3 linked regions of the Chlamydomonas reinhardtii genome follow. The protein of the gene in region 3 interacts with the protein of the main gene of each other region in a pairwise test. Links are inferred from orthologs where the notes say so. Each region holds a gene or a part of one and is shown on either strand. Other genes may lie near its edges. The genes, in order: CHLRE_11g469450v5, CHLRE_17g698800v5 and CHLRE_15g637100v5.

Region 1 (4,045 bases), on a different chromosome or scaffold from region 3:
GCGTATGCAGTCATGCACTCACAAACACACGCACACAAGCAGCTGGCACGTGCAATTGACCCAGCCATCGCACGAACCCCCGTGCGGCCATGGCTCCCCATGGCTCCCCATGGCTCGCCCGAAGCGACTCGTGCATCCATCCCATCCCATCCACCCCGCCCCGCCCCGCCCCGCCACCTGTGCTGCCGCCAGCTGCGCAAGCAGGCTGTGCGCCAGCTGCTCCTCGCCGCCGCCGGAGTAGGCCGGGGCGGCGCCGCCCCCCAGGCTGGCGGCCAGGGCGTTGCCCAGAATGGCAGCTAGGTTGGTGGCCTGCAGGGCAGCCGCACGGGGTGGCCGCGTGGGATCAGCAGCGTGGGATCAGCAGCGTGGGGTAAGAGCCGCACGGGGTCAGCCGTACATATGCGAGGCGAAGGGTAAGGGGTGCGAAGGGGTGGGTAAACGGGCGAATGGGAAAGCAGTCTTGACCGCGACTCGGTGGGTGGAAGTGTTGAAGGGTCATGGGACTGGCACGCGCCCCATGGCTGGCTGTGATGAGGCCACCACCATGCCAAACAATGCGAGCACCGCACCGCACAGCATCGCACAGCATCGCACAACATCGCACAGCACAGCACCGTTTGCAAGAAGTACGCATGTACGCACGCACGCACGGACCTGCGCGTTCACGGCGGCGGTGCTGCCAGGTGTCTGCGCCGGAGCCGCCGGCATCTGCCCCACACTGCTGCCCTGCCCCATCATCACACCTGCACCCGGCGAGCTGCGGGGCGCAGACAGAAAGGCCAGCGCGACGGCCGCGATGGCACCAGAAGTAAAATGTCAATCTACATGTAAGAACGCATGCTGATGGCAGTGCAGACGCCAACATATGCGTCACGCAATTGCGCACACACCGCAGCGGTAATTGCCGCCTCCTTTGTCTCACGGCCGCTCGTGAGCATGCTGAGCGGTGATGATATCCTCACCCATGCAGGGCATTGCTGAACAGGCATGGCCCAGCGGTAGGGCCTGCGGGTCTCGCACCGCCCGTTCACAACCCAACATGGTGCCACCGCTTGTGTGTCCGCGCACTCACGTGGACATGTGGGCGTGCTCCAGAGCGTCAGAAGCCGTCACGCCGGTGGCCGTCACGGCCGCCGCCGCAGAGGCCGCCGCAGCCGTCAGCGCCGCGGCCGCCGCCTCCTCTGCGCGTGGCGCACAAAGCATTTGCAATTGCCGCAAGTAGCGGGGTGGCAAGTGGCTGCTATCTGCCGCTGCTTGCCTCTTGCTGCCACTGGACCGGTTCTGCCTTGGTATATGCAGGCACCCAAGTGTCTTTGCGACCCGCATCCATACCGTACCTCCCTTCGGCGTTCCCCGTCGTCAGGCCGCCTTTGGAGCTCCCTCCCTGCATCCTCGCCGCCCCGCTGTCCTTCCTGCCTTCCTCTCCGCCCCGCTCCCTGCCTCCCCCCGCCCTGCCTGCCCTATCGACGCGCGCCCCCTTGCGCTTGGTATAGAGCATCCTCCTCCTGCCTGTTCCCCTCCCAGCTCGCTCCCACCCCACTCAAGCACCCAAACCGCTGCCCACCTGGTTGGTGCAGGGCTGTGTTGAATGCCGCCACAAGCGCCTCGTCATCCTCCGCGGCCCCGCCCTCCTGCAGCCTGTGCGGGTTGTGGGCAGAGAGCATCCATAACACAAGCGAGGCTGTATACACAGAGCGTGTGGGCGTGTGGGCGTATGTGACTGCAAGTGCTGCCCCGAGTTCCATGACCGTGCTCCCGCCCATCCATTGTGGGCAACTCGATAACCACCGGGGCTACTCCGTCGGGGTGAATAAACGGTGGACCCATCCCATGAGCTTAATGCCGTCAACTAGCTTGCCTCCCTCCCCCACCCTATCTCCCTCTCCCTCTCCCTGTCCCACCTCTGCTCGGGCACCACCCACCTCCCCGCACCACCCACCAGAAGAACATGTTGCGCTCTTTGTCCTCGGGGAACTTGAGCACCACCGCGCGCTGGCCGGGGATCTGGCGGGCGGCGTTACGAAGGAATAGGGATCCGAGTCATCCGACACGGCACGGGCGCGTCAGCGCTGGCGACATGCAGCAGCCATGGGGTTCCATGGGAGCGCTGGCCGCCGCGTGAGCACCACCGGTACCCTGGCCCCCGGGCCCCCCAACACCCCCGACGCCGAGCAGCAGCCCAGGCTTGGACTGGAATAAAGCCCCGTCGTTATATCATCGTGTCTCTTTGGTCGCTTGCTGGGAAAGATGAAAACGCCTACCCACCGACCCACCCCACGCACACGCACGCAGCACCACAGCCCCGCGCACCTTCTCCAGCATGGCCTCCCCTGGGAACACAATGACGTCATCCACCGGCTCCGCGGCCCGACCCTCCGCCGTACGCTCGTACCATTGCACGTGAACCAGGGTGTCCTCCGTCTGCGTTTTGGGGGGTCAGGGGATGGAGCTCTTCGGCCGCGCTGCGCCTTTGGCTTCTTCTGGCACACCCTGCGCACGCCCATTTTCCCCCTGAACACTTGCCTGGCACAGCCGAACTAAGCCTTTGCGCGGGTCTGGCGCCAGCGTCGCGCCGCTACGTGTGAGTTTCCCCGCCTTGAACTCAGCCAGCGGAGCCTCCATCGCTGCCGCTGGGACGTGAAGTGGAAAGGTCGCGGGTGACGCACCGCAGTCTTCGTCCGCGGCGTTGCGCCGCTTTCACGCGTGTTCTTTTATGTGGTATAGGGAGCGCAAGGCAGGTGTACCGAGAAAGCCGTGTTGAACACAAAAACGGGCAGATCAACTGTGTTTCCCGTCCTTAAGCATGTATTTGTGCAGGTCCAATGAGCATAGAATTGAATGCTTGTACTCAAGACAACCGTTGCATCGCGGAGCAGCGACCTCGCCGTGGTTCTACGATTCATCTTGTCCATGCGTCCACCTCTGGCCCGGCCTGAGCTTGCCGGTGAGAGGTGTGAATAGACAGAAGCCCCTGGATTTATCACATAGTCCTTGAGAGCCAAACCGTATCCCGCGAAACGCGACTTGCTTCCAGAAGGGGGTCTGCTTTCTGCAGGCTACGGACGGGACGATCATCTAGTCTGACTGCTTCTAGACTTGGTTTGGTCATAAGGCAGGGGCGAAGACGCGAGGATGGGGAAGCCGCTGCACTTTGACGTGCACGGCCAGCTGCGCGTCCTCGCAGTCGACGATGACTCCGTTAACCTTATGGTCATTGAGTCAGTCCTAAAGCCGATGGGCTGGGATATCGTGCCGGCAATCGATGGCTCAGAGGCGTACGCTGCGTGCGACAACGAGCCGGAGTGGCCTGATATCGTGCTGTTGGACTACAACTTGGAGGTCGGAGATAGCGGGGAAACGGTGCTGGCCAACCTGCGCAGCCGCTTCGCGGGATTCAACGTGCCCATCGTCATGTGCACCGCAATGTCCGCCAACTCAGCGGAGCTGGACCGCTGCCTGAAGAATGGCGCTGTGGACATCCTGCTCAAGCCATATGAGCGCAGCAGGGTCATGGACATCGTGGAGAAGCACTGCCCGGGCAAGGCAGCGCCCGCAGCCAAGCCCGCTGCCGCCCTGCCACCGCCCGCCCCCGCGGCGGCTCCGGCCCCGGCGCCTGCGCCCACAGCGGCCCCGCCGCCGCCGGCGGCGGCCGGACCGGCCGCCGCTGACGTGGAGTCGTTCTGCGTGTCCATCGGCCTCGACTACCTCGGGAAAAAGCTTAAGGAGCAGGGCGTGTCGCTGTCGGACCTGAAGGGCTTCGACGACGCCGCGCTTCGGAAAATGGGCGTGGTGGTCAAATCGCAACGCGATAAGATTCTGGATGCCGCCAAGAATTGTTAACAACAAGGTGCGGATGGGGGCTGTGGTTTGATTGGGCGGCTTGATGCTTCCAGGGTGATGATGTCTTGGCCGTCGCAGACGGGGTTCCGTGGTTGCGTGCTGTGCAGTGTGGGTCCGGGGCAAGGCAAACGATTAAGTGTGTTGTTGTTTGAGTTGCCGTCCTGTGCTGGGCTGCATGCCTCTCCCACCCTAATGCCTTATCCTC
Region 2 (4,285 bases), on a different chromosome or scaffold from region 3:
GAGCCGCAACCCAAGTCTCCGACGCTTCCCCTCTCCCAGGCCTCCTCCTTCCCTCCCTCCCTCCCCTCCCTGCCTCCCCTCCCTGCCTCCCCTCCCTGCCTCCCCGCCTCACCTCCCCGCCCCACCCCGCCCTCCCCTCACCAGCTGCCTGTTGAGGTACTCGAAGCTGATGATGCGGCTCATGGCCGCCTGCCGCCACACCAGCCGGCAGCCCAGCAGCCGCTCCAGCAGCGTCCTGCGCGAGCACGTGCGGGCCGTGCGTGGGGCCGTGCGTTGGGCCGTGCGTTGGACCGTGGGTCGGGACATGAACGGTTGTTTGGGGTCATGAACGATTGTTCGGGGTGGGTGTGCCGGGGGGTGGCGCAGCCGCAGCACCGCAACAAGCAGTTTGCACGCAAAGCGCACGTAACGAGCACACCAAACCAAACAGCCACCAGCATTCTGCACGCACGGTGGCGACCCTCAATCCCCGCCGCACCTGTAGTCGCCGCGCACCAGGAACAGCCACGAGTTGGCGAGCGCCGCCGCCGCCGCCGCGCCCTCCGCCCAGCGCATGGCTCCCGCCGCCCGCCGCCGCCAGCTGCCCTCCTCCGCCTCCGACCAGTCGCCGGCATGCGCCGCCCGACACAGCCTCGCCCAGGCGTACGGCAGTGCCACGGTGCCCAGCCCCAGCCCCAGTCGCTGGCCGCGGCTCAGGCCCGGCCCCTCCACGCCCGTGCGGCCAACGCAGGCCTGCAGGGCGCGTGGGTTGTGGCTGGATGGGGTGGTGGACAGTAGGCGCGTGGGTGGGCACAGGGACGGGGAAAGGAGCTGCCAGGCTACCGCAGTATGCAATGACCCCAGCCCGCACAGGCCCGCACGCCCTCTGCGCCGCCCCCTCCCCCTCCCCCTCCCCACCTTGTCTGCGGCCACGGCCCACTCGTTGCGGTACCTCAGGTTGAGCAGCTCCGAGCCGGGCGTGGCGCGGCCCGTGCCGCCGCCGCCCCACACCGACAGCCCAAACACCTGGCAGCGGCAGCGGCGGCAGGGGGCACAACACAACCGCAGCAGCCCTCAGCAGGCAGTGGTGCACAAGCACAGACACAGTGCAGCAGTGGGGGGCCGGGCTAACAGACACCACACGCCGCCGACTACTGTGGTGAAGCAAGGAGGTGGCGTGACATGCAACGGCGCCGGCGCGGAGTCCGCTAAGCACTCAAGCAGTGACCGGCGGTCTCACCAGCAGTGACAGCACGGCGCGCACCTCCGGCTCCAGAGCCGCCGCCTGGCCCTGCACTCGTGCGTGGGAAGGCCGGGGGGGGGGGCGCGTGACGAGCGGCGTGCGCCACTTACCGCCGCTTTGAGCGACCCAAGCAGGCCCTACTGCTTCTACCCTGCAGGCCGTCCCCCATATCCTAGCTGCTGGCAGTGTGTGGGATAGCCCTATCCACACCCGCCGACACATGCCCGCTCACCGGCCTGAAGTGGTCGAACAGCTTCACCATTTGCTCCTGCGCACATTTGGTGGCATGGCATGCGCATCACAGTCATAGGCGTGATTGGGCCAGGCGGATACGTGGCGGATGCAGGAGCCCGCCAGTGCCCGTGCCCCTGCCAAGTGACTGCACCCTGCACACGCCCAGCCGACGACAACCCGGGCTGCATGCCCTTGCCTCCACCCGGTGTCTCATACCCTTCAAATTTACCCCCACTGCGCCTTGCGTTCCCTTGCACCCCTCCACACACGTCCCCCGCGCTGCCAGCGGGCCGCGCACCCGCACCCACACCCGCACCCGAACCCACTCCCCCACCTCCACCCCCACCCGCACCCGCACCCACACCCGCACCCGCACCCGCACCCCCACCCGCACCCCCACCCGCACCCACACCCCGCACCTGCAGCATGCCGCCCAGCTCCGCGTCCAGCCTCAGCGCATCCACCTGCGAGGAGCGCAGCACGTGCAGCGACGGCGGCGGAGGCAGCGGCGACTGCTGCGGGAACGCCGCGCCGCCGCCACTGCCGCCACTGGCGCCACTCCTGCTCGAGAGGGGCGGCAAGTGCGGACGGACATGGGGGGAGGCGTCCCTGGGCCAAGAAGGGCAGCTGCATCAGCTGGTGAACGGGGGGCACCCTTGCAAGCCGGTGGGGCGGGGCGATGCATGCTGTGCACGGTGTCCTGGAGAGCAGTGCGCGCTGCTACAGGGATCACAGCCATGACTCCACCCATAGCCGCCCTTGCACCACGGCACCTCAGCCACCCGTGCCCCCATAGCCACGAGGCGGCTACCCGTGTCCTCCTGCGGACCCGCGACCGCACCACGCACCCTCCTTGCATGGATGTGGACAAGGCCGCAACCTGCGGCGCCACCAGCGCCGCGGCCACCTGCCAGGCATCCGCCGACGGAGCTTCTGGGACGCAGCCCAGTCCGCCGACCGTCTGGGCCCCCGCAGCGGCTGCCTGCCCGGTCATGCTACCACGGCCGGCGGCAGCACACGTTCACGCCGGGTGACTCGTCAGCACCAGCCGCGCCGTGCCTTGTCGCTGGCTAGAGCCGGTTTAAAGACATAACAACCCTCACTACAGTAATGTTTCTCGTGAAGCAAGCGACGCCGCAGAGTGTAGTGCGCTAGGTCGCGGGAGTTGAGGATTATCAGCGCGGCCGCTACCGCCGCTCTTGGGCTTCACGGACGCTATGTGGCTCCTATTTGGTATGTCAAGTCGTGAACAGTCCATAGATATCACGGAAGCTGGGTTTTGTCAAAACGTCAAAAGCCATTCAGCTGCGGTCTCCCGGCCCTTGCCGAGGTCGCGCACAGGACTGTTGGTGTGTTGATGATGAGCATATAAAGACAACAGCAACTCGCGGCAGAGCCCGACGGGCTGACACATCGATGGGGCCTCATCCCGGTCGTCTGCCCCATCCTTCAGCTAAGCGGGACCCGTGCTGCTAAGTTCTGGCATACCTGAAACAAGTTCATGCCTGTGATCCTTTAGGAAAGGCACTACGGTCTCCCTCTTTGCTATTGCCGCGACCATCCGGCACATTCAGTCTGCCGAGTGCACGAGATACCGTTAGCTCTAGACTGCAGCCAACTTACTGGTCAAGAATCCTACCTAGATCGGGGTGAACTTGCTAAGCGCGCAAGGTAAAAGTCGCGAGTTCGCTTGGACTGTAGCGCTGAAGTAATTAAGGGCATATACGAGCTTCTGTCCACATGATGATACAAGGACACGTCCAGGTAAGGACAGCGCCGGCAACTTGGGCAGGTCTTCCGACAGTCCACCTGCATGCGGTGCTCGCGCGCGGGTGTCGCTCTGTCGCCGTAGTAGGCCAATTGTGGATGCAGTGTAGCTTTAACCCGGCTTCAGCGGACCACCAACGCATGATGTGGGCGCGCGGGCGCGCCGACAGAAGCACAGATACATCCCTGATGGCTGCCGTCAAAAGTATCTAGGCTTCACTCGCGCGCGCGCCGCGCGATCCCCTGAACCGCTGCGCCACTTATACTGCTACACTGGTGTATTCACGCTCTGCGCAGGCGCCCGCGCGTTTTATACGCGGGCCGCGCAAGGGTGTTGCGCCGCGGCACGCCGTCTGCTCCAGCCTCGCCCACCCGGTCTCGGTCCCCCACTTGCCGGCAGCCCCCAGCCCCTCGCCCCTCGCCACCCCTGGTGCTCCCCGCCAGCCCTCCATCCTGTCCAGCTCCCATCCCGCGATGGGTCGCGCCGGCTTCTCGCAGCTTCCCTCCTGGGTGCCGCAGGCCAGCGCAACGGCCACGCTGGAGCGCGGCGCTGTGGACACCAGCCTCACCCGCTACCGCCGCCACAGCAAGGCCGGCGCGGTAGTGGATGCCACGTGCGAGGCGCGTGACGGCAAGGTCATCGTGCGCGTGACGGCGTCGTATGCCAACGCGCCGCACGCCGCGCCTTCCGAGCTGCAGCTGCATTGGTGGGTGGGTGCTAGTCACCGTGTGGGGGCTGGCGGCACGGGGGTCTGTCATTGGCGCAGGGCAAGCGGATGAGTGAGCGCAAGGAAGGAGGTACGCAGGACAATGCAGCGTGCGCGCGCGCTTGTTTGTGTCTCTCTGTATGTGTGGTTGTGATAACAACCCACCAGCGAACTTGTGTGAGTAAGATGGTGGGGAAGATGGCCAGCATCCGGGTCTAGGCAGGTGCTCAGGATGATTCGGTACGACACACCAGACCTGGGGCGTTATGCATTCCCCACTCCGCACCGCCTCCCGCCTCCTACCTCCTCCCCACCCCACGGACATCGGTAACAACGCGTCTACTATGCTACTGTA
Region 3 (3,109 bases):
AGCAGGGCTGCAAGGCCGCCTGCACCCGCGCCTGCGCCTGCGCCGGTGCCAGCGCCGCCGAGGCCGCCGAGCAGGGCTGCCATGGTCGCCATGTCGGGCATTGCGCCGGTGCCGGGAGGGGCAGCGGTGCCGGGAGGGGCGGCGCCGGGGGCGGCGGTGCCAGGAGGGGCGGCGCCAGGCGCGCCCATGCCGCCCATGGCGTTTCCGAACATCTGCGCAAAGAGCGGGTTGGAGCCCTGTGGGAGTCGAGAGGAGAGAGGAGAGGGAGGGGAGAGGCAGGGGAGAGGCAAGGGTGGGGTTGGTCAGGCTCTCGGCATGCGGTAGGATAGCAAGAGGTGTGGGCCCTGCGGGGAGGATTGCGCAGACCCAAGACAAAGGCACTCCCCAGATACCCTTCATCCTATAGCTCTCCCTCTCACTCTCACCCGCATCTGCTCGATCTGCTGCATCAGCTGCATCATCTGCGCCATGTGCCGCGGGTCCATCATCGCCCGCAACGTGTGCGGGTCGCTCAGCATGGAGCGCATCATGGGGTTGGCGTCCGCCATCGCGCGGAGCTGCGTTTCCAAAAGGCGCGAACAGCAATTTGGCAAAACAAGCACAGTTAAGCAAAGTTTGTAAATCGTAAAGTATTGTAAATATTAAGTAGAAATTCCAAGCAGCAAAAGGAGAGCAAACATTGGCACACAGATGCTGCCGCGCTTCCCATCTCGTGACCCCTGCTAGCGCTCGCGCAAAGCTCGTTGCCCCTCGCGGCCTCGCCCTCGCGCTCACGCCCCCTCGCACCTGGGGGTTGGAGTTGATCATGGTCTCCATCAGCTGCGGGTTGGACGACAGCGCGCCCATCATTTGCTGCACCAGCGGGTTCTGAGGATGGATCCCACAAATACATTTGTTTCATTTGTTTGGTTATGGAGGGCGGGGAAGAGGTGCGTTGTTAGAAACAGGTCATGAGAACGCGGTGGAGGGAGGGAGCTTTGCTAAGCGAGAGGGAGCTAGCTAGTAGCTAGCAGACGGATTGAGGCCCCCTGCCCCCAGGAACGGTGGGCGCAAGACGGGGGCAAATGGGGGCATGAACGGATTCGCGCTCCGCCAAAACAAACCGCTCCCCTGCCCCTCTCATGCACATGGAAACGGAACATCTAACGCACCTGCAGCATGGACAGCGCCTCGGCTGGGTTCATGTTCATACCCGGCACGCCGCCGGGGCCCCCCGGCCCCCCCAGCGCCCCGAGCCCGGGAAAGCCTGCCCCCAGGCCCCCTGGAAGCCCGCCGGCGCTGGACCCGGTTCCGGATCCAGGCGCGCCGCCGCCGCCGCCAGGAGCCCAGGGGTTTGGAAGCGGCGCGTTGTTGGGCGTGGCTGCTGCTGCTGTGGATGCCGTGCCGTCGCCGCCGCCGCCACCGGTCCCTGAAGCAGTGGCAGATGTGGTGCCAGTGGCGGCGGCGCCAGCCCCCGCGCCTGACCCAGCGCCGGAGAGTGCCTGTGAGGTGTGGGAGGATGAGGCAAGGCATGGGGAAGGGCGCGGTCAGGTCAAGAGCTCGCCCCATTTACCAAACTGCCAGTACATAAATGCTAAATAATTCCCAAGAAGCGCTGTACAAAAATGCTAAAAACATATTCCGAACATGCGCTGTATCAAAATTCCAACACGCGCTGTGCACCCTACCTGTGCTAGCAGCGATGCAAGCGGGTCGGCTCCAGCCGCAGAGGCGCCGCTCCCGGAGGTGGAGGTGGCGGTGGCGCCGTCAGCGCCCGGCGGCGCCGTCGCAGCGTTCATCAGCGGTTCCTGTTGTTGTGGGTTGCGCGCAAAAGAAGCAAAATGAAATTGAGGCAAGGAGGCTACTGATTGGATGAGAGAGGACATGAGACCGGGTTCAGATTGTTTGCCTTCCGAGAAACATAGCATGAGAGGGGTTCTGGGCCTGGGTTTGCCGCGGGCAGCAGTACCCTGAAGCCCTGCTGGACACGGCTGTCTAACCCGACCACGCCCTACCCTCCCGCCCAACCTCCTACCCACGCTCCCGCCCACGCTTCTACCCACCCACCCACCCACCCTCGCACCCACCCTCCCGCCCACCCTCGCACCCACCCTCCCACCCAACCCACCTGTATTTGCTCGTGCAGTCGGCGAAGGGCATTGAAGCCCTCGGGCAGTGCCTCGATGTTGGACAGCGCGCGGTCGCTGGTGCGCATGTGCTCGCGCATCAAAGCCTGACAATTTTAATTAAAACGTATAATAGTATGCATACGGTTAGATGAGAGGAAATACAATTTTGGTAAATGGTGTTATGTAAGGGTTCTGGTGTGAGTCCGCCCTCCGCAGATTTGCTGTGTGGCGGCAGGCTGGGCTTGCGGCATGAGCCCTAACAGGCACAGTCGGTTTGGGTTTGGGCACAACCGTTGAAGTAACCTGAATGGCGCGCAAACTTTCATGAACGAGAACACCCAGAAGTTATGTGAATGGCTCATAAAAGAGACCGCCCAAACACCCGTACCTCACCGCCCCGGCTCGCCAGTTTTGGAGCGATATAACCGCGCACCCTGACACACACATGCACACCCCGGACACACGCGCCATCACACGATGCCTTCCCTGATTATCACAAATTTACGGTACACATACGCCTCTCGCGCGCAGGTCCGGGGCCGCGGCACACACACGCCACCGGACACCCGTCACCCACACCAACCCGTCACCCACGCCAATACCGGTCACCCTGGCACACCCACGCAACGCAACCATACGGCCACCCACCGGGTTGGACGCGATCCGCATCATTTCCCGCAGCGTGGCGGGGTCGTTCAGGACTTGCCCAATCTGTTGGGAACGACACAAGGGAAAATATAAAATTATTTCTAATCATGTAGGACACGGACACACAGGTCAGGGCCATGCGTTGAGGCCCAAGTTCAAGGCATCGCAACGCGTACAGCGAGTGCCCACCAGTGTTTTCCAAAACCCGGGTACTACTATCCAATACCGGGTGCGGACAACATAATTTGGGGAAATTGACACGGGAACACAGCAATGCAAAATATGGGAGCTGCGAGTACCCACGCGGGTACCTAAAACCTTTGTGCTGGGAAATACTCTGCCCACCTCGGGGT

Evidence for each region.
Region 1: the proteins of CHLRE_15g637100v5 (region 3) and CHLRE_11g469450v5 interact in binary tests that used the Arabidopsis thaliana proteins (3 or more experiments, as listed by UniProt). The link is inferred for Chlamydomonas reinhardtii from reciprocal best matches to the Arabidopsis thaliana genes DSK2 and RPN13.
Region 2: the proteins of CHLRE_15g637100v5 (region 3) and CHLRE_17g698800v5 interact in binary tests that used the Arabidopsis thaliana proteins (3 or more experiments, as listed by UniProt). The link is inferred for Chlamydomonas reinhardtii from reciprocal best matches to the Arabidopsis thaliana genes DSK2 and TED3.

The regions. Positions count from the first base shown.
Region 1 is NC_057014.1:2,128,335-2,132,379, reverse strand, and holds the start of CHLRE_11g469450v5 (uncharacterized protein), read right to left. Parts: upstream 2,825-4,045; 5' UTR 2,623-2,824; coding exon 2,524-2,622; intron 2,422-2,523; coding exon 2,311-2,421; intron 2,005-2,310; coding exon 1,940-2,004; intron 1,639-1,939; coding exon 1,565-1,638; intron 1,182-1,564; coding exon 1,073-1,181; intron 758-1,072; coding exon 655-757; intron 310-654; coding exon 178-309; intron 1-177. Other genes in the region: CHLRE_11g469400v5 (uncharacterized protein), read left to right, coding at 3,133-3,840.
Region 2 is NC_057020.1:398,586-402,870, forward strand, and holds the start of CHLRE_17g698800v5 (uncharacterized protein), read right to left. Parts: upstream 2,823-4,285; 5' UTR 2,451-2,822; coding exon 2,305-2,450; intron 2,018-2,304; coding exon 1,876-2,017; intron 1,491-1,875; coding exon 1,455-1,490; intron 1,271-1,454; coding exon 1,220-1,270; intron 1,006-1,219; coding exon 898-1,005; intron 733-897; coding exon 479-732; intron 236-478; coding exon 142-235; intron 1-141. Other genes in the region: CHLRE_17g698850v5 (uncharacterized protein), read left to right, coding at 3,197-3,220, 3,521-3,930. UniProt on the Arabidopsis thaliana protein: E3 ubiquitin-protein ligase component of a retrotranslocation channel required for peroxisome organization by mediating export of the PEX5 receptor from peroxisomes to the cytosol, thereby promoting PEX5 recycling.
Region 3 is NC_057018.1:535,814-538,922, forward strand, and holds part of CHLRE_15g637100v5 (uncharacterized protein), read right to left. Parts: coding exon 3,102-3,109; intron 2,820-3,101; coding exon 2,757-2,819; intron 2,213-2,756; coding exon 2,108-2,212; intron 1,788-2,107; coding exon 1,668-1,787; intron 1,482-1,667; coding exon 1,152-1,481; intron 868-1,151; coding exon 787-867; intron 558-786; coding exon 426-557; intron 237-425; coding exon 1-236. UniProt on the Arabidopsis thaliana protein: Binds and presumably selects ubiquitin-conjugates for destruction. Prefers multiubiquitin chains rather than single ubiquitins, with a binding affinity for 'Lys-48'-linked ubiquitin chains.